2 linked regions of the Styela clava genome follow. Each later gene encodes a partner of the first gene's protein in a complex. Links are inferred from orthologs where the notes say so. Each region holds a gene or a part of one and is shown on either strand. Other genes may lie near its edges. The genes, in order: inhibitor of growth protein 5-like and uncharacterized protein LOC144411641.

Region 1 (11,855 bases):
AAAATTGTATTTATTCTATTTAAGTTATACTACATACTATACTGCCCCAAGAATTGATACTGGGTGTCATAGTGTTGCAATTTCATTGACCAACTCAAATGAGTTCTCATTAATTTTGATCTATTTTAAAATATGCCATTATAAGACAATGAAATATTCAAAAACATACCAAGTTTATCTCAAACTACAGTGAGAATGGTGATACAATTTTATCTCAGAAATCTCAGTTTTTGATTAAAAATCAAGGCGCTAAGTTGTTGCTACATGATTTAGCGACATTATTTCAGAACTTCAAATAAAGAAAAAAAATTGAGACCTGATCGTCATTGCTAAGAGCATCCTAAAATCTGGGCAGAGATAGAAAAAATGAAGCAGCACATATTTAGCTCAACTATTTTCAATCCTGGAATTTAGATACTATAACAAAACGTTTTTTCCAAAATCAATTATAACAGATTAAAATATCCTAAATAATGAGCAGAGTTGGGAAAAACGCTCAGTTCAATATTAAACTTGAAAGGACAAGCATGATCATAGTGTAGCCTTTAGTTTGAGTTTATTGAGCAGATTTGTCTTATTACTACACACAGCACCATCGAGCATAGATTTATCGTTTTAATATTTTCAACGACGACGATGCCTACGGTCCCGCCTATCTTTTTGGGACGGTTTAACAAAAGCCCAATCTACTGACATCGTTTGGCCTAGTAAATCACTCCCATTCAATGCATCAAGAGCAGCCTGTGCTTCTTTAAAAGTCTCGAATTCCACGAGGGCATATCCTTTTAAATATCCGGTTCTTCTGTCAAGATTTAGATGTAAATTTTTTAATTCTCCATATTCTCCAAATTTATCGAACATGTCGTCTTCCGTTGCTTCCTCGTGCACGCCAGTAACGAATAAAATCCAGCCTTCAACCGATCGTTGAGGTCCAGGCCCATCTTGATCACTTTCCATTGCTTCATACTTGATTTCAGTTCTTTTTTCAGAATCCCCAATTCCACGACCTTTTCTGCGCTTCGCACGATCTTTCAATCTTTCAATTCCGACATCTCCTTCCTCATCTGCGGCGAATTCCTCTCCGCTTTCATGTAGATCTAGCACATCAGCCATTTCGATTGTTCCTTACACTAAATTATTATCACTTAAATTATGTTATGGCTGAGAAAATATCAAAAACAATGAGACATAAAGATATTATATATGATGAAAATCAACAAATACAATAAAAAATGTTGCAAGGGATAAATGAATTCAATTCAAGTATAAACATATATTTCGAAAACAACTTGGCAGTTTAACGGAAATGATTTTTCACCATCGTCTAGCAAGCACTAAACAAAAGAAATAGCTATTTGCATCTCACTTCTAGACATTTTAAGTTAGCTTTTTCTTTCCAGCATCTTCGGCCTTGCCTTGGGTGAAAATCAACAAATACAATAAAATAATGATGCAGAGAACTTAGATATTCAGCGAAGAACAAAGCAGCTCATTAGAATCAGTGTTCACCAGCACCCACCAAGCGCCAAAAGTGCAATTAACTGTAGCTCTTTACATCTCACGGTTTAAGACACAGTCAACTTGAATACACCTTTTTTATGAATGTGGTGGAGCAGTGGAAGTTGACAAAATAGCAAAATGTGAAATTACGAAGTGGAAACTTGCTCAAGAAAACACAGCTTCGAATCCGGAGCATTTGATTCTCAGAATATCAGGATGAATCATTTTAGTTAATTTATATTTATCATTTCTGAAAATATTGTTGCCTTGATACAAAATATTTTTGACTAGTAATCAAAATCTAAATATTAATACCCACTGGCAGTTATCAGATAATATAGAAAAATAATTACTAACAAACTGCCTATGAAAACTGGCAGTGAGTTTAGTTTTGAACATAAAAACATTTACGTTTGAATATTACCAGTGAGTAATTTTTAAAATTTCTCGGTGAAAATAAAAGCTATCGTTTCTTTTTATCTCTCTCTTCACGACATTTCGGACAAAACCATTTTCCTTTTGGTTTTGATGTTAAATTAACGCAACCAAAATGAAACCACTCGATGGGGCAATCTGGATTATCACATCCAATCATTTCACCATAAGAAACTTGGTGACAAAGACAATACGTTGGTTCATTTGGATCAACAGGCATATCTAGAACATCTGAACTCGAGTACGCAGATATTCCAGAGACGAGAGGTACAGAAGACAATGATTGATCTAGTCCGGATTTATGTTTCTTTTTGCTCGATTTTGATTCGTCCTCGGAGTTCGCGGCTCGTCCTTTCTTGCGACGCTTTTTATCTGAAGGACCGCTGTCTGTATCAGCTTTCGAAGTCCCAGCGACGTTTGAATCATGAATAGATTTCTCTTTCAAATCAGCTTCGAATCTTGCAAGATCCGAGTCTAATTTTCTGATATGTTTGTCAACCATTTCGTACGTTTGCATTGCAAGTTGAACCTTGTCATCAGCAAACTCACGACATTTAGCGTAAGAATTTTGAATTTTTTTGATACTCTCAACTCTGACATCTGGTGGTAGATTTTTTGCTTCTTCTACATAATCCATCGTTAGATTATCAATATCTACTTTTAATTCTTCTGATCTTTCATCAAGCTGACGCATAAGTTGGAAATTTCTTTGCAATTCAGCAGGTAATGTTTCCAGACTGTCAAGATACTGCTCCAGATACATTGCGGTAGCCATCTTTGATACTTTATATATTATTCTAGCTGATAATAAAATAAAATGATAAAGTTGAAAAAAAAAATTTATTGATAGTTATAAAAATACAAAACTACGCATAGAATGCAGATGCATCAGATCGTGCCATGCTCGTCTGTTGTCTCGATATTAAATTAAATCAAACGCAACGTGCCTCGTCAGTCACATGACCAAAATTGCAGTTTTTGCTAAAAACTCGACTTTTTTTTAAGAATCCAACGTTAATGTTTTTAGATTGCGCTTATATTTATTTAGTTTTGTTGCACAGTGCGTGTTTGGAGGCCTAGACTGTCTTGAAAAGAAGGAGTTTGTACTCATTGTTTAAATTGATTTTTAATGTGGAGGCTATTCTTGGAATTAAGGAACTGTGTCGTACTGGTAATTCATCTATAATTCTTCAAATACGAAACTCTGCATGAAAAAAGAGATACCATAATCGAATAATATATGATATTTATTCCGAAATGAAATATATTCTCAATCACTAAATTGAATGACGTTGAACAAATGAATTTATACTCCAGTATTCATCTCCATAAATTTGTGAAAATTGAATCTGGGACGGTGAATCAGTTGCAAAATAATTCAGTGATTGTGATACATCAGTACAGATTGAATTGATTTCCTATTTTTTACAATATTGTAATGTCAGACCATCGACTCTTGTATGCCAGTATGGGTAAATTGGGTCTCGTGTAGTTTCACGTCATAGAGCTTGTCAAATACTCGTACGATCGCCCGAAATGGCATCGGCGCCGACGATAAAGAACTGACTAACGTCAGCGATCTCTCTCCTAACAGTCGTTTGCGCGTCTTGGATGACAGTCCGCATAATTTGAAGGGCTCTATTACGTCACTGTGACGTCGTGGTGACGTAATTTTTGGATGGTGTGGTCAGGTGGCAGTACAGCACACTATCCAAATTTCAAGAATTTCCCTCCATTTGGCTCAATAAAACAAACACTCTATGTGTCTCACAAACGAGGAGCGTCTGGGACCATGTCAGATGCTTCATATCGTGCCATGCTTGTCTCAATAAAAATCTAAATTAATCGTGACCGTCAGATGACCAAAATTACCGTTTTTTGCTAAAAACTCTCGAATGCTACGGTAAAAAATTTTTTCCTTCGGAAAATCGGATTATTTTTTTCCCAGGAATTCAATGATGACGTTACTAAAGTGCGCTTTTTTGTAGTATTTCGCGCAACTTCATTATACTGTAATATTACCGATATTGAGGGACAACAATGTCCAAACGTCTCCCAAAGAAGGGGCGTCTGATCATCTGTAAAATGGGTTTCTCTGAAACGGGACACTGTCACCCGATTTGTATAGCGTGCCGTACTGGGTGGGGGTTAGGATTGACATGTGAAAAAATTGTTATGCTACGCCTGCTAGAAGTACGTTAGGTACGAAACTACACCAGACCCGGTAAATTAACATAAATATTTTAATTATGTTGAACCCAACCATTTGGTTTTTGTGTATCGCAGTATCGATTAGTTTAAACGAATTGGAAATCAAAATACTGAAATGAGTATTTTCCCAAAATAACCCACAATGTCAACCATTGCTGCATTAGTTCTTCTCGACCCCCAGACTTCATACAGTTTATATGCTGATTTCAATTTTACTTTTTTACATTCCATGCATTCGGACAGTTTTATAGAATTGATTCAAAATTTCGCCGAAAGCTTGAAAAACAGAAATAGTCTATGTACGGTACGGTACCGGGCCATACGGGTACGGTATTTGCTATGGCAGTATGGGAGTCAGCATGACAGGCAGAATAACAAAAGTTTTCTAACTAAACATTTCAAATTATTTCAGAATAACTGAATACTGAAATAACGGAACCGGAATTATAAAATGCTGGAATGCGGGTACCGGTGCCGGTACCGTACCTAACTTTAAAATTTTCTGAATTTTGTGACTGAGCTACATAAACTACAATTTTAAAAAATCAAGATACACACCACAGCGTGGAAATGTAAATTCAGTAAACAGACAAAAACCACCTGTCCATCATAATCATACGGAGTATTGAGAATAAAATAAAGAAATAAAAAATTTTCCTTCCCGCCTGCAGGCACAAATAGACGATGAGCAAATTTTAAATCATCACACACGCGGCCTACTTACGCCACCTTGCGACAAATCGTATATTGTATGATTGGTTGAAATTAGTAGTATATATTTACGTATGATTGGTTGAAATTTAAAATTTTTATGGGATTTTCACTCAACAGTTCCAATATTTTTTGGAATTAGAAAAATTTAAAATTGTACGTACATAACTGAATATTTCAAATATACACATATTCATGTCCCTGTCCGTCTGCGGTCTGATGGCTCTTGAAGACAATCTCTAGAAATATATATTACCGTAGGTATTTAATTCGACAAAATTATACGGTGCTCATCGGTAGTTCCGAGAATAAAAATCCAGATCTTTTTAATACGATATTAGAACCTCGGGTGTGGCTGCTCGATTCCCTCGCTTTGAGAGAGAGAATTTATTATTTCGTCAACCAGAAAACACATAATATAAAATATAATAATAACAAAATAAGTGAAACAAAAGTTTTCGGTATGACTGGGAGGTAACGATACGACCAGTTACGGTCATCTGAGTTAGTTACCATCCAATACAACACATGAATAAATACATAAATTGACACAGGTTCTTTTTTATTTAACTCTCAGTTTATAGAGAACTATTTACACTATTTACAAAACGAGGATAAATCTGATTAGAACGAGGATAAATTTTGGATTCATCTAATCAGGGTTGGGAATTTATTGTGAAAAATGACACATTTATAACAGTAACATAATGTGGTTTTTGTTTTAAGTTAATTTAATGGTAGAAAAAGAGGAGTGCGTTTCCGAAATAGATACTTAATTCTAAATGAGCCTATATATGAGAATCAATCAGTACATCATTTTAACACTATGAAAAAATAAAATAAAAAAATACTACTCCAATAATACATAAATAGACATATGCAAATTTAAGCAGATATGATTTATTAAAGACAAATATGAGACAGTTACAATAGTCCAGAAACCATTTCAATTCTTGCAATAATTCATAGTCTATCCCAAACGTAAACTTTGGTGGTAGTAGTATAAAAAAATGGTCAAATCTATCAAGATATCGCATATCGATGAATTTTAATCACACTCACAGTTAATTAAATAATCCATAACAACCGTTTAACAGTAATTGAAAATGTAATTATATTAAGGAGCATCATATGAATTTCAAAAGTCACTTAGCGGAGCAGTTTTGGGTTACTAGGGTGGTATAACACCAGACCTAATGTTGTGCATAGATAGGATAGCAGAAAATGAATGGAAATGTTTGCAGAATGATAAATGATAATACATGAGATATATATAAATCAGTGGATTAATTTGGTAACCCCCAAACGTAAACTTTGGTGGTAGGAGTATCAAAAATTTCCAAATTTATTAATTTATTGCAATATCGATAAATGTTAATCACACTCACAGTTGATTAAATAAACCATAAGAACCACATAAGGGTAATTGAAACAGTAATTATGTAATATCAGCCTAATGTTGTGCATAGGTGGGATATCAGCGACTTCGATTCCTCAGTGAAATTTTATGATAATCTCGCTTTTTTCTGAATGTTATATGCGATTGTTTATTGCTGGTTGGAAAAAAATAAATTTCACTTGACGCACAGACAGAACGGGAGATCATCAAGACTGTTATCATAGCGTGCTTCTTATTTGCAAAGTTTCAAAAGCCCAAAGAGCACTTTTATTAGGATAGAAGTTCATATTTATCCCGAAGAAGAAGAAAGTGGCGAGACTACTTTTTCATTATTCGCATGACAAGCATATTGCTTGGGACGATGCGCCTACCGTCGATAGCTTTGAGTACTTCATACAACTTTTCAGAATTCTTCAGTCATTTTTGCTAATTTTTTTCTGGTTAGGAATTTTCTGGGGTTAATGAGGTTCAAAAAATCATACACGCATATTTGGCCTACTTGCTTCTTATCTTCATTCCTTTCTTCCGGTAACTCAGTCCTAATACCCTGACTTCGGTCAGATGACCTAACTTTTTCGATTTGGTGACACGTTTTCCAAGTAAGCTAGTCTATTTTGCCTATATGACACGAATAAAATTATATGCGTGCCTAGGGTTGCCAACTATGAAAATTCTCAATAAAGAACATAGATTACCATCATCATTTATTTTGTAACTTACAGGAAAGAACAATATAAAACAATGAAATACAAATTATATACAAGCTAAAAAGATATATATACTAAAAAATCTCCATTTGTTTTTCATTTAATGTTTATTTAACATTGACCCTGCATTCAAGCTGCATTCTGTGAACAGTTTAGTGCTTTGAATCGTGTCAAATTTTTTTTTGAATGAGTGCAACTTCATCAAATAGGTCAAACATATTCAAATTAAGTTTGTTTTTTAGCTTCAAATGCTCTACAATTTTTACAAGGGTCTGATATTTTGGAGAAAGATTATCCAAAAGTGATAATTTTCCAAATGTTAAATTTTCATCGGAGTCAAATCTTTTTTCCAAATACGTTATCGCAGAGTTGAGAAATAATCTAAAATCTTAGATACCAATTATACGTAGAATTTTCAGTTATTGAACTAGAATTTACTCAAATCTTGGAGTGTTGCCACTTGCCATCTTCGGAAAATTAATGTAAAATATTTGAAATTGTTAATAAAATTGGTATTTCTTGGCTATTGGCTATTTGTGCCGTACCAAAGCGAAATTAAAAAGAATAATTAAAAGCTTGCAAATACAGAAACGGAGGCGATTAAAGAACGAAACAATATCAAACACAGTACTATAACTATCGGGCAAAACGACGTTGGAAAAAATAAAGGACAATTATCATCTTAAAAAGGACAAGGACAAAAATCTCAAATAAAGGATTGTCCTTTGAAATGAAGGACGGTTGGCACCCTATGCGTGCCTATGAACGATAAAAAAAAATAAAGATAAAGTAAGAAAAAAAGAAGAAAAGAAAGCAAACAAAGATTAGATTAATCCCTAAAACCATGCAATTTCTGAATGAAGTATTCAAAATAGAACAGTTATCGCTCGCACACAACTTGAATTGCCGAACATCTGATATCCGAAGTATTTCTACGGATGACGCCTAATTAGCAACAAGATGAAGATGATAGTATTTTCACAAAACAAAATTAGCACTTTTTTCAGTCAGACTTCGAGAGTTTAAACTTGCTCATCTTTTTGTTGAAGACTACCTGTCACTCTGCTCTGATAAATTAATAGATTCGCTAGCTTCAAATTTCACAGAAACAAGTCGATTGTGATGATGCTACAATTATGACATGTATAGCGCCGGTAACAAATCCAGACCTGCTGGTAAGAAATTATATTTGCCGTTAATCATCGATGAAAAATCAAAATCCAGCTATCACTCACTGTATGAGACTATAATAAAGAAAGTATATATATATATGGAGTTGTACAAATTCAAACATAATTCTACATTGCCCAATAACTGGCCTGCTACAAGCATCAAGCGGTGCTGCTTCAAATTCGATGCACTCGCTGGCATCGACTGTGTCAGGGATTGTGCCGCTTCATATCGAATAATCCCGCCAGATTAGCAACGAAACCTTAATCATCATTCTAATTACACTGCCATTATAATACGGTCTAAATACAAACTTAAAGACTCAGGCAGGCATGCCAACGGAAAATCTACATAATGGAGTGGTCAGAGTGGGCGACGGTTGTAAAATCTCGCACATCGGGGCCAGTGCGTCACGCCACACAACTCAGAAAGAAATAGAAAGAGCGACCAAGAAATAAGACAAGATATATAATAAATCACGCGAGGCATGTAAGTTTTTTAATTGCATGTGCGGTTTTTCGATATATATATATACAATGAAATATTGAGGCTGCTTATAAGAACCACAGGAGATAATTATCCATCGGTTGGACGAGTCTTCCAGTCAACTTACATTAGAAAAGTTTGAAAATATAAATCTGATACAGTCAACGCCACCACTTCCTGCGTATCAGAAATTTGGGGTGAAAGTGTAAACACGTCTCCTGAAAATACTTCAACTGTACGTCCTTGGCGACCCCGATACCGAGTCTTTCAAAACTTTAGGTGTGGAGAGACTTAATAGGATTCGTACAGAACATTTTGAACAAGTTCTGGTGGATTTACTTCTTTCGCTAAATTTTCGTTCAACTTAACCTCAGAATAAACGTTAATTCCATCTTCGGGATTATCTATCTCGCCATTTTGTGCGTCAGATGTCGATGTAACAGACTTTGTCCGAACATACCTAAAAAAATATAGAAAGAGCTTCAAACGAGTAGACATAATTGCAAAGCTATTTAAAAACTCCCATACCACAAATATTGGGCGCGATGGCTGAGCAGTTGAACGTTAAATCGTTAGACCAGGGGTTTGCAACATTTTTTGTCAGTGAGCCATATGACCAACTTCAGTCAACCAGCTGGGCCACACAAAAAGAGAGTGCGACTATCACTTAGCCTTGCAATACTGGAAGCACATGGCAAAATGACGAAAGATTCAATGCAACGGAAAGAGCAAAATAACATTATGTATTTTTAACCATGTGAGAGCCTTTTTCAAGATTAACTGTCGGATTTAAATAAATCCGAGTATTGACAAGGGTCACACAAATATAACAGCTGTGGTGCGTTCATTTAAGCCATTTGCTGAGATCGCCGAACTCTAACGTCGAAAACAGAAATTATTCAATAACGAGTCCGCGGCCAGTGCGAATCCCCTGAATCTCACCACTGGATACATACCTGAAGTATCCAACACAAATCGCTATGCACGAGAGGATAAGAATAATGCTGAGTATGGCAATGGCAATTATGAATGGTAGATACGATCCTGAGATATTTTTTGTATTATCGGATATTGGCTTGTTTTGTGAATTGGTGATTTCTCCTCCGACCGCTGGAAAATAAATCGAAACTTTACTTTAGATTTTTAAACATCAAGCATAGCGAAGTCAAATTTATACGTGAAGGCAGAGCTCATTTAAATGTGCCACGCTTTCATAAACAAATAACTGGTTCAACTAATTCCATATATAGCCGACATGGACTGGTAACCGGACGAGAGGCCGTGGTTCGCTATATCATTAAGTCGTCTTATCGCCTTTTCTTTCTCCCTGGGATGAATATGTAAATCCTATCCCAAGTAATGCGCGTCAAATATGCAGATGGATTTTGCTCGGATTTGTTGATAATTGGCTAATTATAAAATTCGTCATGTTTTTCGAGTAGAAGAGAAAATTCAATTAGACGTGGCTCGAACCTATTGTGCGTTCACTGGTTCAGGTATGCTTTGAAAATAGCAAACAAAGCCAGTTTATCGCTCCAAATTTCGCTGCAATTGTATGAAGCGATTTCGATGACCGTATATGGGTCGCATCGTTACAATCCACTCATATACCGAGAACTGTAATATATGTTGTCGTTTTTTATTATTATTATTTGTATATATCGCCATTACGTTTTCTGGTTGACGAATAAAGGAATTCTCTCTCTCTCATTATCACACAACCATACTCGGGATAAAAACCAGCAAACCCACGCCCACAGATTGAACTTGAACAATTACTGATTGAAAAACGACAAACCTGTTTGCGATATATTGAGCACCGACTTCACAGCAAAATTGAAATGGACAATCTTTACGTTACTATCGCTGGCACAGTAAAAATGAGACTTACCTTTATTGCTTAAGGTAGATGTCAAGACAGGTACTGATGTATTTGCAGTGGGTTTCAAGCTAACGCCAGACTTCGGTAAATACGTGTTCGCTTCGTTCTTTTCTGTTATTGATGTTGCGCTCGTTTCAATTTCTAACGTAGGAGTTGTTGGAACAGGCGCTGATAAAATTAGGAATATAAGATATAGACAATGAACAAATCAATAAATCAATCAATTTTCTTTTGGTCACTCTGAAAGAAACAAAACAACAACGAACGAACAAACAAAATGCAGAGGACCTGGAAAACGGGCATAACTTATTGAAAAAGTTAAAAACGTACAAGTACGTTCCCATCTACACAAAAACAGACAAAAGAACACACTAAAATAAAGACATGATGTAAAATCGGGCAATACCTTTTGAATCAATTTTAAAATGTGAGAAACTGATCAAAAGAAGATCATGGCAATAATTTATACAAACTAGAATTTAAAAAAGTACGAAAAAGTTGTGGCTGCGGTCCTTATGTGGCGATTACAAATCAAATTGATCGTTCAATGAACTTTTATTACTTAACAAACATAAATCACGAATAAATGAACTATGTATGTGAGAAAGTTGATGATGATACTGACTTGTCCTTTTACAGCGAACAAATCTGTAATGCAGGTCGAACCTTTTCTCCATTCCCGCCAAGTCTAAATTCCCGACCAATAATGTGATTTTTTCAGGCAGTTGTTGTACCTTATGCGATCGGAAATGACTACAGTTCATCGAATCTGGTGTTGTATTTTGGCATCTTGCGTTACCAGTCTTCCTGTATACGTGGCATCGTTTGGGTTCATCATTCTCGCATAACGGTGGATTAAATCCTGAATAAACTTCGTTGATATTGATTGTTAGAAATGAGTTCTTGATATATTTTGCTTTGCACATTTATAAATTTTTTTGTGGTGGCATTTGAAATGTATTTATGTAAACCATAGAATAATGTTAATATCATAGAAATGTGGAATGCAAACAAGCGCGATAAAGGTTCGTTACTGCTGCCAATATTTATATTATACTTGTTTCCTTGTATTTGCGCAATTGTATTAGGTCGATCGGTATGGTAAACACAATCAAAAGTATAAATGTTAAATAAATTGTTAGAGAGGCGGTTCACTGTACTGCTTGCCGCTATTTCGCCAGCTGCAGTTTATTTATCTGCTAAACCGAGCTTAACTGCCATGAGTGATTTTTTTTATTATTTCGAAGAAAAATCAGGCAGAGTTGACCTTTTGTCTTTCGTCCTTCGACCTACATATTAACAACCTTCAAAGGGCATAAAAAACACATTAACGATCATCACAAAATTGAGTTTT
Region 2 (12,439 bases), about 5.7 Mb from region 1:
TCCAACCGTGATATCTTTAAGAGGAAGTCAGTGTCGCAAGATGTGAATCAAAACCAGATATAACCAGGCAGTTTACCCAGATTAGAAGACTTTAAAAATGGGTAGTGCAACTTCTTGCGGATGCCATTCCACGACAATTCAGATTTGAGCCCCCCCCCCCCCGTTTTGAAAACGCTGGTTGCACCGTTGCCTGACAACAACAACCATCGACAAGGAATTTAAAAATACAATTCTGGGTCGATAAGTGGTTGACTGGAGTATCCCCCCAACATTCATTCAATGAAGTAAATTTCAAACAAGAGATCTATTTGAAATGATCTAATAAAACATTTAAAAATCTTGCTGCTGAATGATGAGGATGTTTATGCTTCTGAGAATTCCATGAAAACCTGGACAACAAGTTATTCCATATCATGTTAAAGGTGTATCGCAACTCATCCATTGTCTCAGAGAGTTGAACTTCTATTGAACAACCATGTTTGAACTTTATCATGGACATCAACATCAAGCTTTGTGCCACACAGATAGTCATGTGTGTCAAATTGTATTTGTGATAATGTCGCTTATTTTGTAATAACACCATGGCTAAGCTTGCACCTGGAGATCCTCCAGCTAAACTGAAACTAAAAAAATCAGAATGAGCATAGCGAAAATTTTTTGATAAAAACACCCAGATGGAGCCAAAGCTAGCAGGAATTCTAGTGCTTCCAGCTCCTATTCCTCTAATTATTAATTCCCATTTATATTTCATAAAAATGATAAACTTCAAGCCAAATTTGTATGAAGTATAAAATCCATAGTCACACTGCTGATGTAGTGCGCTACGAAAATAAAGCAAAAGGTTTATGAGGATATCCTATCAAAATATAAGAATGTGTTTTTAATTACCCATGTAAAATTGGCTCCGGTATATTTGCTGGATTTTCATAAGTCAAGCTAGATATAGTAGCATCAATAGTGTGAACAAAAAAAGTAAGTCCGTTAATTGAAACAAAATAATTGAAAGCTAAATCATCATCCAAGTCTTCCAGCAAAATTAATACAGATCTTGCAACACTCCAACCAAACAGCAAACATAATTTGTCCATGGTATGACAGTTTATATCCCGAACTTATTTGACAGCAGGTGCTGGAAGAGATTCAAAAGTCAGGTCTTCAAATGATCCTGTCAATAAAACGCCTGCGCCAAAAAGTGCGATGTTGATAAGGAATTTCCTGCAATATCAAAACAAAGTAGTTTTTCAATATAAGATCTTATTAACTTTCAAATTAACGAATGCATCTATGTTGACTCATTTTTCATTAAAAGAATTTTATGTTTATAGAATTTTCTTGCAAGATGGTCCAAAGTAGCGCTATAATCAAATTTCGCAGCTATGTTGAAGATTTTTTTGGGTGACCCATCAGCCTTTTCCATGAACAAGGACACTAAAATGTAAGAAACTATGATAGTTTGGAAGGACTGTAATCTACCTACTTGGTTCGGCATTGCCTACCGAATTTATTACAACCTGGCAGAGATAGAAAATTCACACAAACACATAGCTTACCTCTTCGATGAATTTGTAAACCACTCTTTCACAATGTTCATGTATGATTTCTTTGATTTATCTGTAGGAGTCATTTTCAAGAACTGAGCATTAAGCTAGACTCAATCTAATAATGTTAGTCACTATATAAATCAAAAACATCGAATATCGATAATGAAACACAGGCACAATTGATAATATGAAAAGGACAAAATTTATAAAAATATGCAGCATCAACCGGATTCTTCAATTCAGATTGATTTCTTACCAACAATTGTACAGTTTGTTATATTGTTAATAGTAAATCCACGTCTCACAGTCACACACACCAAAGGTATGTTGATAAGGTTATTGTAGTACTACCGGTACATCTGAGTGGCTTTTACAGAGTTTCAGAAATACCAGGGATGGCCATATTCTAAAATTAACAATTAAAAAAAATATGGCAAATATACATTTGCAGACTGAAATTTTAATAAGAGCAAAAAGCAATGAATGTGTTTTCTACTTCTATCAGGATAAATTCAATGTAAAATCTGGTATAGTTAAATAGATGGATGCAAAGTCTTTCTGGACTCATCGATAGAGTTCATGCATCCATACATTGGCTGAGTAGGTTTTCCTCCAACATCCAAGGAAAGATTGATTGGTTGACCCCTGACTGACATGGTGACTGGACAAGATAGAGAGAGTTCCTCCCATATGATTAATCACGAAAAATCCTAAATTTTAAATAGTTTTGGCTGGTCGTATTTTCAAACTTTTCACAGTCAACAATAAATTCAGGAAATTAAGTCAAATTTATGAACCACAGCAGGCAGCAAAATAATATCAGCTCTCCCCAGAGCGTGATTTTTTACCATATTTGTCGACCTTGTTCTGCCGAATCTTACGCTTTTTATCTTTGCTTGCAGATGCAGAGTCTTGGGTACTGACAGAACTATATCCATCTTCCGAGTTATTTTTATTTTTAACACTCGATGTGGAAATTTTGCCATTTGAATCTGAACGTTTTAACAGTTTGTTTCCTCCATTTTCTCTAGATTGTTTTTCTTTGCTTGAACTAGAGTCTCCATCTTTTCGAGAATCCACTCCACTTACAGCCGCCGCAGATGTGATTGAAGATTTACTAAAAAGTCTTTCAGCTTCTTTAAATTTTCTGTTTCTACGATCTGATTTGCTATTAGTGTTTTTATTATTTGTCAAATATCTGTCCCATCCTCTAATGATGTTTCCATAGAGTTGAGTATCTTCCAAATAGCTTCCTTCAAAAGCGTAAATTTGGCGCTCAAGATTTGCTAAAGTTTCAGTTATTTCTTCTTTTCGCTTTACTAACTCTGATAGTTCTGCTCTGGTGTTGGATCCTTGGTTTTTATTAGACATATTGAAAACTGAAACAGAAGACATATGACTGTATGACATATTAACTACCATATGAAAATCTTGTTCTTTGGTTTGCAGGTTTAACCCAAGCTAAAATGAAAATCATTCAGAAATGAAATATCAAATAATTAAAAGTGCAAATGATTAGCCTGCTCCAAATTTTCAGATTTTTGAATCAATTATTGAATTAGAAAGACTAAGCACCTAGATTTAGGTTATATTGAAGCAAAAGCTATAATGGCCAAAGAAAATTGGGTGTTATATTGGTATGGGATTTCAACATATATTATACAGCAAATATTGTTATTTGCTCATGCTTATTGTATTATGTACTTGTATCGGAAATAAATCATTATCTATCTATCAACATTTATGTGATCTCAGTGCAGCAGTGATTCTAGTTAGGGTTAAGAGCTGAAATATATGAGAATGTCTGAATGAAGCACCACTTTGGTATACAATTGAGATCACACTGAACAAGTGAGGTCGCATACCAAAGTGGCAACCCATTATGCATTATGATTTTTTATAACTTTGTCATATATGTGCCTATGTTTGCCCATTTTGATATCATTCGTATTTAAACTATTACTTCGCCAAAAATAAATTACACTTTTATAATACCTAAATACTCATGGACTAAATATATGCGATACACTATTATTCAATGATAGACCTAAAAAAAAACAGAATTATTGCCCTATATTCTGATACCGTATTATATTTCAAGTAATGAATAAAATTGGTAGGTTGGGTTGAGTCGAGTCAAACTGAAAATACATAGACTATCATAAGCTTCTACGATTGAGGTTTTCCCCTACCCTTGACCCAGTGGCCCCAAAAATATTCTCCCTAATTTTTTGACGCTGAATTGGATTTTTTTTGAAGAGTTTGCACTTATAAATAAACTTGTTATACTGTTAGACTGGCCTATATGTTCAAAAGCATTATTTTTGTTAAAAACAATTAACCACGTGCCGCTCACAGATACCGGTATCTAATTTTAGCCTAGCCCTGTCAGCCTGTACGTACCGGTGCCGGTACGGTAGACCATCGCAGCTTTTTCGAGACTAATTTTTGATTATTGCAACTAAACTAAAGCTCTGTGGAAAGCATAACGACTTTTATACGGTACTATTTGATTTACAACTAATTTTTGGAAACACAACTGAAAACTAATACGCAAAATCACAAAAAAAGAGGCGCAGTTCTTACCACTTCATGGCAGCTCCTGCCACGAACGAACCGCGGCAGCTCTTGCCATGGTTTTATAGCGCTATTCAGTAATCAGTATTAACGGTATATTCACAAATTAATGTACCAGATTTTAATTGATCATGTGGAATTATATCTACTTAAACCCTAACCCTAACCCCAAATCAATCAAAACTGTATCCATAAGAAAAACGTTCCAACTTACCCAATATTTGTCACCATAATAGACAGCCCAGTCTTTACGGCCCACCTGCCGCGGTGACGGCAGCTCGACATTGGTTTGTGGCAGCTAAAAAGTCAGTTGCCATGAGTTTGGCCGTAGCGGCCATGGTATGAAAATACCGCCATGGTTTTGCGGCAGCTGCAGATGCCACAGAATACTTGAAACTGCACTTGAAAAAAGAGGCATCGTTTTCACCCACGCTGGAATATCTGTCTGGGCGGCCGCAAAAATTCAATTGATACCATTCTGTTGTAAGGAGTCTTGCATAATTACGGTGAGTGCAAGGTGACTATAACACTTATAGACACTTTGGGTAAGTGCAAGGTGCCCCGCCGCCACAGGATGGCTCGTTTTGCCGAAGATGAAAGCAGATATCTAACAACATAACATATTGAAGAATATCTCCACAAACTTGCTTCGCTGTCTAAGTTTTTTCATTCATCCCGGTTGGTTCATTTGAATGAAGGATTATAGATAGTGAGCCTAAGAAAAATGGTGTTGACAAAGAGACATACAAATTTATGCGCCACTTTAGATGCTGTAAAATAGCTTCTCAAAAAAAAAATGGGGGCCACCGCCCTCCCTGGCCACACCTATGTCTCTCTTTTCCAGAAGAAATTTGAAAATCCTATCCTGCGAGATAAAAAAAATGGAGTCGGCAGAACTACATGCGAAAGATTATACAACAAATTGAGAGGAGTTAAACATATTGATTCCATAGTTTTGGATCTCACAGTGCAACTCTCTACAAAACGTTCATAACTACCCTGAAGAGATGCAAATAAATAGGGTCTTTTTAGGCCGCGAGCCGAGGCAATTTATCTTTCAGTTTCGTAGCGCACATAAGGTAACTACCTGAAAATTATTTTAAAATGTTCCTTAGAAATTTAGTAACAAATATTGCCTTGTTCCCACTTCCAAAAGTTGCACGTTTTACAAAAAAGACGCTTTTACTACAATAAATATGTGTTACCATCTGTCATATTTTCTCTGCTTTCCCGGTATCATGGGCCAATAAACGCAGACTTCTACATGACGTAACAATCAAATTAGTCAGCTGTAGGTGGTTGCACGTTTTACAAAAAAGACGCTTTTACTACAATAAATATGTGTTACCATCTGTCCTATTTTCTCTGCTTTTCCGGTATCATGGGCCAATAAACGCAGACTTCTACATGACGTAACAATCAAATTAGTCAGCTGTAGGTGGATCCCCAGTGGTCGGATGAATATCAGATGTACTACTACTGCTCGCTTTTGCGTTCAGTAACCTTTCCATAGTTTTTTTCAGTTATTATTAGTTTAGTTATTCTAAAGAGGTGTTGAAAACTATAAGTACGGCAAGATATTAAACACTTGTATATCCTTACCATAAATAGCAATTTTAGTTGAGCACTAGCTCATAACACGTTGATAAATTGGTACGGTGCGGTAACTCCAAGAAAGGCTAGACCTAGAATAATAGGTCACAAACAACGATATTTTCTGGCTTACGTGAAATGTTTATGATTAATTTAATGACTCTTCTTGACTATTCAGCAGACTTATACTACTACTATATAGGCCACAGCATATTTGGAAATAGAAATTAATGGCTGTTTCTGTAATGCACAGTTGTGTGAAAGAGAAGAAAATAATCAATTTTACTAATGTCGGTTGGTTTAAATCTAAATTCATAGAGTCGACAAGAACCTGGGAAGCAATGATAAGTTATGCCGGGAAGGAAAGAAAGAAAGTAGCATTGGAAACGATTTAGAGGTGAGAAACCAAGTTGTAGACAGACAGTTGATGTTTTAAAATATAGTCTATAGTCCATACTCATACTGTCATAGGGCATTTCAGACTGTGATATATCATAATTTAGTGGAGATATAGTCTAGTAATGGTATGCAAACACTGCTGGACTGTAGTACATGCAATGAGCATATATACGCTCATTGAGTACATCAGATAAAATGCATTATGTATTCAAGGTATTAGTTAGTATTTAGTGGTATTTTTACACTCATGCTGTTCCAAATATGATTTTCTTCCTCATTTTAGATACTGTACTATAAAAGAAAACGGCAATGTTTCACCAATCCGACCTAACGCAGGCTCTAATCCCTGCTGCTATCAGTGCTATAAAATGGATTAAACAAGAAGTCTTGAAGAGTATAGATATATGAGAATCATAATAGTTGCAAACAGCTTAGATGGGCTATTCATATTGAAATACTTTAGCACTTTTCTGCAATTGAAACTGCCCATCAAACTCATGTTGGAGACTTCATTGAGGTTTTCAATTAATTTTTTCTCAACTATGAAGATCTTTTGAGGTTAATGAGGCATTAATAAATAAAGCTGAGGAATTTGTTTGTTCACTGTAGACCAGGGGTTCCCAAACTTTATTGGACGCGGGCCAAATTTAGAATCGGGAGAATGTTCGCGGGCCGGAAGAGTTTAGCGCCCGAAAGTTCGCGGCGGTTTAGCTGGGGTTCAGTGGATTCACTTCCATTTGACATTTTTTGCAATCTGTTTGTTTGACTCACAATGGCGCTTTATGTCGTATTCCTTCAGAACTGGAATATTTCATTGGCAAGAAAGACAAATCGCTGAAGTTTGATTCTTTGCAATACGAAAATATGAAAGCTACCATTTATCCCGGAAACGTCTATTTGTAAAGTCTAGTTTTGTTTGTTTCTTTGACATCTGTAAGCTTTCTTATATGGCTGATAACTTAATTACTGCTCTTTGTAATCCTACCGTGTTTCCCTGAAAATGAGACCAATCCCGTAAATAAGACCTAGCCTGAATTTTAAGAATGATTATAATATAAGCCTCACCGTAAAATAAGACGTATAGTCAGTAGCACCTAGTCGATAGCAGGAAATCTCCCATACACGTTGTAAATGATTAATTTAACAAGTGTGAAAGAGGAATACGTGCCATTTAAGTAAATGGATATTGGTTTTCATATTTTTTATATTTGAAAATCTTTGTAATTTTTTTTTGACTCATGAAAATAAAAGACACGCCCCGAAAATAAGCCCTAGGTATATTTTTCGAAAGAAAATTGAAATAATCTGTTCTATTTTTGGGGAAACATGGTAATACCGGTACGTATTATTGAGATATCGGCATATTTGAATTGTTACGCGATAAACACATGCTTAAACTGTGGTAATGACATAACAACATCGTTTTACTCAAGTTCGGCGGGCCATTTTAAATTGTTACGCGGGCCGGATTTGGGAACCCCTGCTGTAGACTATGGGGATATGAAGAATGTAAATGATACCAGGGGCCAGGGCATGTCTATTTAACACTGACAAACATAAGGATTCACTGAAGAAGCATGTGGCCCTCAAATCAGTTCTTGAGTTGGCAAACTGCAAGTGTAAGAAAAATAGTCAAAATAATTTATGCAAGTGTGCCAAAATCAACTTAAATTGCACAGATTTTTGTTTTTGTACTGCAAAAATCACAGTACACTTATATAGGAAAAGTCGATTTTCGAGAGTGGATTTCGAAAACAATTCAGAGGAAAGTGAATTAGATATTGCAGTTGATTTATTAAGTAGGGCCTATCATTTTTTTTTCGGACATTTGTTAGTGTCGTAGTTCTGTTTCTAGAAATAATATTGCCTTTGTTCAAATACATAACCACATAAACTGAAAAAAGACTAATTGTTATATTTCTGTTCACTATGTTATGTACATATTGTACATTCATTTAATTTTCTTGACTTTTCCGTTAAATTTCTAAGTGAGAAATAACTGATTTATTTGTGTTTTCGTGCTCACGATGTTAATTTGTGACTTCATTGCTCAAAAATGATTACGTTTGATAGCTTCTATAAAAAGGATGTAGCTTTTTATGCTGTTCTTGTTGTAAACTGCTTGTGGTTATTACATAAAATTTATTCGCTAATGTGAATCAGCGTTGTTGGTGTCGCTGCTTTCGAGGTCACTCGCGACTCCTGTCACACAATTAAAGTATTTTTCGTAATCTACCTATTAAATTATGATTGACTGAGGAAGTCCGATTTTGATAGGAAAAACATTACTGGAATACATTTGTGTTAGTGTGCTGTAGGGCTCTCGAATTGCATAGTTTTTATGTATGTGTTGTAAACTTATGGTTATTGAATTTCCGGGAACCTCTTATATTCAATTTTGCATCAGGATTGTGGAACAAGCTGTAATGAGTTCAGTATGTTCATTTTCACACAAAATTGACGAATTTATTTAGTTACCAGATGTGCGCTACGAAACTCATTTTCTGGGCGTTTTCAAGGCTTCGTCTCACGGCCCATATCGGTGGTAAAGATCTGCAAGTGTTTAATAACTTACTTATACATTTTTTAAACAACGTCTCAGGATAACTCAACTAATAACAAGAGAGCTACGCACAAATATATGGACACGTCAGACCAGAGCGAATCAGTCCTTACCGGTACCTTTGACGCTACCGGTACCCTCAAAAAAGTTCTGAATTTCCAGTAGCAAGAATTTTGCAGAATCAAAACGTACAGCCAGTCATGACACTGACTAAAATCCGTGTTCCCATGGATAAAAAATGATACAGCAAAATTTTAGACGAAATATCAAATTTCATAGAATTCACGCAAAATTTTGAAATAAATAAAAGTAATAGCCTTCTAGCGAAAAAATTAATCTTTAACCACTGAAAATTTCAAAGCAATTGGTCCAGTATTCGAAGAAAAAAGCGACTTTTTAAAAACGTGTCAAAGAACAAGAACAACAACATAATATTGAAACGATCGTTATGTCCACTACGTGTCCAATAACTAAACAGGGCTATGGAAAGGCTGCCCAACTCAACGCAAGGTCGAGCAGTAATAACTAATATTCATCCGCTCGCTAACAGCTGATTCGATTCAATTGTGACGTCATGCAGAAGTCATTGCCGAAAATGTAGAGAATATAGGACAGATCGTAGCACATATTTCTTGCAGTAAAAGCGTCTTTTCCATAAAACGTGCAACTTTTGGAAGTGGCAAAGCAATATTTGTTACTAAATTTTTAAGGAACATTTTAAAATCATTTTCAGGTAATTACCTGATGTGCGCTACGAAACTCACTTTCTAGGCGTTTTTCAGGGCCTCGGCTCGCGGCCTATTTGTAGTATTTGACAATTGTATTCAGCATTTGAAATATAAAAATTTATAATTGAAAAAAAATCATAAATGTGCGAAGTGTCAGTTGACAACTGTTGAAGATTTCTCTCAAGAAAATTATTTTCTGAGCGATCTTTTTATTGGATACTAACATAACAAAGACGGTGTTTTTAAGTTTTATTCAAAAGAAAAGGTAACACTTGAAAAACATGACTATCATTAGGTAAGTTAATGTGCAAGTAATAATAGAATGAATTATCTATCAACCTATAGTTAGTATTGGCAGCTGGCAGGGCAATTTATTTAAACACCACAATGTTAAATGGCAAAAATTTGTTAATAAGTGCATTTAAAGGGGTAAATTGGTACAAAGGGTAATGCCATTTACATGGTATTTACTGAGAAATGGCCAAAGTAACTTCAGTCGACATTGCCTCAGAACTGGAGTCAACCAGCAAAGGCAGTATAGCCTTATAACTGTGCATCTTACAGATGCCAGAGTCATCCTGGCAGTAGTATAAAACACTTTCAATGAAAATGTTAAGCTGAATAGAATTAATGCCTTTCGGCAATGGCTCGAGTTTGCTAACATTAAATGAATAAACACCTTTTCCGGATATGTTAAAGTTTTCAGACTGAAGAAGATAAATTAAGTTAGGACTTTTGTCAAAACTGTAACTTATTTGACACACAGACGGAGCATCTGGATTCAGATGAAAACCAGGGCATGTAACACTGATATTGATCGTTCCGTTGTAATTGACAATTCTCTGATCCAATATAATTGCATTGACTTTTTTACTGGTCAACGGTTTCACTGACATTTTTATTGGTCCATCAAACTCATCAATTGAAAGGTTTTCAAAATACTTTTCAATATTGAAATCAACCTGAATTGTAGGAAAATTCGTATATTGAATTGAAACAAAGCCTTGAGGAAATGCAACAATAAATTTTATAGTAGCAATAACTTTGCTATGATTTCACATAAAAAAAGACTGTGAAAAAGTAGCTATTAAAGTTGAGTACTATGACAGCTATTTTAACAAGATGCATGTATGCAGCTTTACTCATATTTCACTATTACAAAAGGCATATCCTGATAGGCATAAGTTGCCGCTTTCAAAATGCGCTCATATTAGTAGGATAGGAGTCTTTGCATCGCAGCTGGAATTTGCATTGGTTTAGGTGTTATTAGGGCTAAGCAGAGTGTACCAATCTTAGCTAGCCAATACCATACAAATCCTTGAAGTCCTGACAGAACCGGGACCTATTGTTAATTTAAGTGTCAACTAGATTTACTGCTACCATGACAACTTACAGAATTTGTTTCTTCACTGCTCAGTGAAATAACTTTAATTTTGTGATTGTTCGTGTCAGCTATATACAAATTCTCACAAGCTGGATCGCATGCAAGCCCACTTGGCTCATTGAGTATCAAATTTTCCCTTCCATTACCTGCCATGGTTTTACATGTTTTTTCTTTCGGATTGAGAATCTTTATCTGAAAAAAAAAATAGGAATTCGGATCTTAAATTTCTTATGCAGGGTGACTGAAAAAACAGGACCCATAAATTTCCTGATTACTGCTATGAAAATGAAGAAAATACAAACTTGAACTTCTGTTTGTGTATGATTGTATTCCTCTATAATGCTCCAAATGACATGGATTCTGTTTTTCATTTTGGTCTGTATTACACCTATATTTCTTTTTCAAAACTGTGTTACGTTTGTGATTGATATTAGATATTCAGAAGCAAATTACCATCTAATATAAATTTCAGAGAAAAATGTTGAATATAGTTGATATATTCATGGCATGACATGATACATTTATAATCCGAGGAAGTAGAGATGAGAAACAACCTCCCTGAATTAAAATTTATCCATGAATTAAAAATATCGTTTATCCCACATCAATTTTACAATTTTAGAACATTTTACTCAAAAATGCCTTTTTTTAAAATTTGTACCTTATGATTATATGTATCTGCGATGTATAATAAATCCCGCTTATGATCCCATGCTACACCTATAGGATGTTGAAGTTTTGCTTCTCTACCTTTACCATCAGTATCACCATATGAAAAGAGATTCTAAACAACATCAAAAATCATTAAAAATGAACAAAATGAATGAATAAAAATGATTCCAAGCACCAGTAGCATTTTTGATATATTTGTACCTCATTATAATTATTTAAATAACATTGATGTAACAAAAAGTAAAAATTTCAATTGGCTAACACTAACAGTCGAACTTAGAAAAAAAAATGGCCGTTCATTATATACATATGAACAGGTCTCAGCAAGAGATTGATAAAAATTGGAAAATGTAAGTTTAGTGCCTTAAACAAGGCCATGCCAATCAAATAATAAGTAAACTAGTTTTACTGCTTATAGATATTTCCAACAAACATACCATGGGGTCGATGTCTCCCCCTACAAGGCCCTGAACAGCTCCATTTGTAAGATTTATTCTTCTGATGGTGCTGCTTTCACTGTCTGCTACATATAATGTGTGACATTCTTCATTCAAGGATAACCCACTTGGCTGGGCAAAACCTGCCTGTAAAAATAGTAATTCATTTCATAGCGATATTTTTCTAATAGTTTGCTCACAACATTATATGTGAAAATGCGTACTTTTTAATAATGGGGTGAATAAGTGTCCATTAATCACATTTAACTAACCCATCTACCATGATACATACGGGTATATTATTATATATACCTACTTTGTGTGGATAACTGTTGTTTCTGTTTTCTTCTTTTCCATTCCCGGCATATCTAATACAAGTTCCCATTTCTAGTTCAGCTCCTGTGATGTATCAAATGAATAGTACTTACATACAAATTCAGCAATTTAAATTATTTTAGAGAAGTCTACAGAACTTTTGGTGATCAGTTAAGCAGAAGATAATGTCAAAGCAGATTTAACAACACTAAGAAAACAAAAAATAGAGT

What was found.
Region 2: inhibitor of growth protein 5-like (region 1) and uncharacterized protein LOC144411641 share a complex: the UniProt entries of both Drosophila melanogaster proteins name them as parts of the enok complex. The link is inferred for Styela clava from reciprocal best matches to the Drosophila melanogaster genes Ing5 and Eaf6.

What each region holds. Positions count from the first base shown.
Region 1 is NC_135251.1:10,583,746-10,595,600, reverse strand, and holds inhibitor of growth protein 5-like, read right to left. Parts: upstream 2,754-11,855; 5' UTR 2,711-2,753; coding exon 1,964-2,710; 3' UTR 1,162-1,963; downstream 1-1,161. Other genes in the region: RNA-binding protein 8A-like, read right to left, coding at 625-1,113; uncharacterized protein LOC120336283, read right to left, coding at 8,911-9,079, 9,576-9,729, 10,511-10,669, 11,127-11,372. UniProt on the Drosophila melanogaster protein: Component of the Enok complex which has a histone H3 acetyltransferase activity.
Region 2 is NC_135251.1:16,250,611-16,263,049, forward strand, and holds uncharacterized protein LOC144411641, read right to left. Parts: upstream 4,451-12,439; 5' UTR 4,333-4,450; intron 2,921-4,332; 5' UTR 2,913-2,920; coding exon 2,361-2,912; 3' UTR 2,323-2,360; downstream 1-2,322. Other genes in the region: uncharacterized protein LOC120336316, read right to left, coding at 305-623, 889-1,088; NHL repeat-containing protein 2-like, read right to left, coding at 9,869-10,363, 10,795-10,977, 11,447-11,569, 11,895-12,041, 12,211-12,293. UniProt on the Drosophila melanogaster protein: Component of the Enok complex which has a histone H3 acetyltransferase activity. Might be involved in transcriptional activation of selected genes.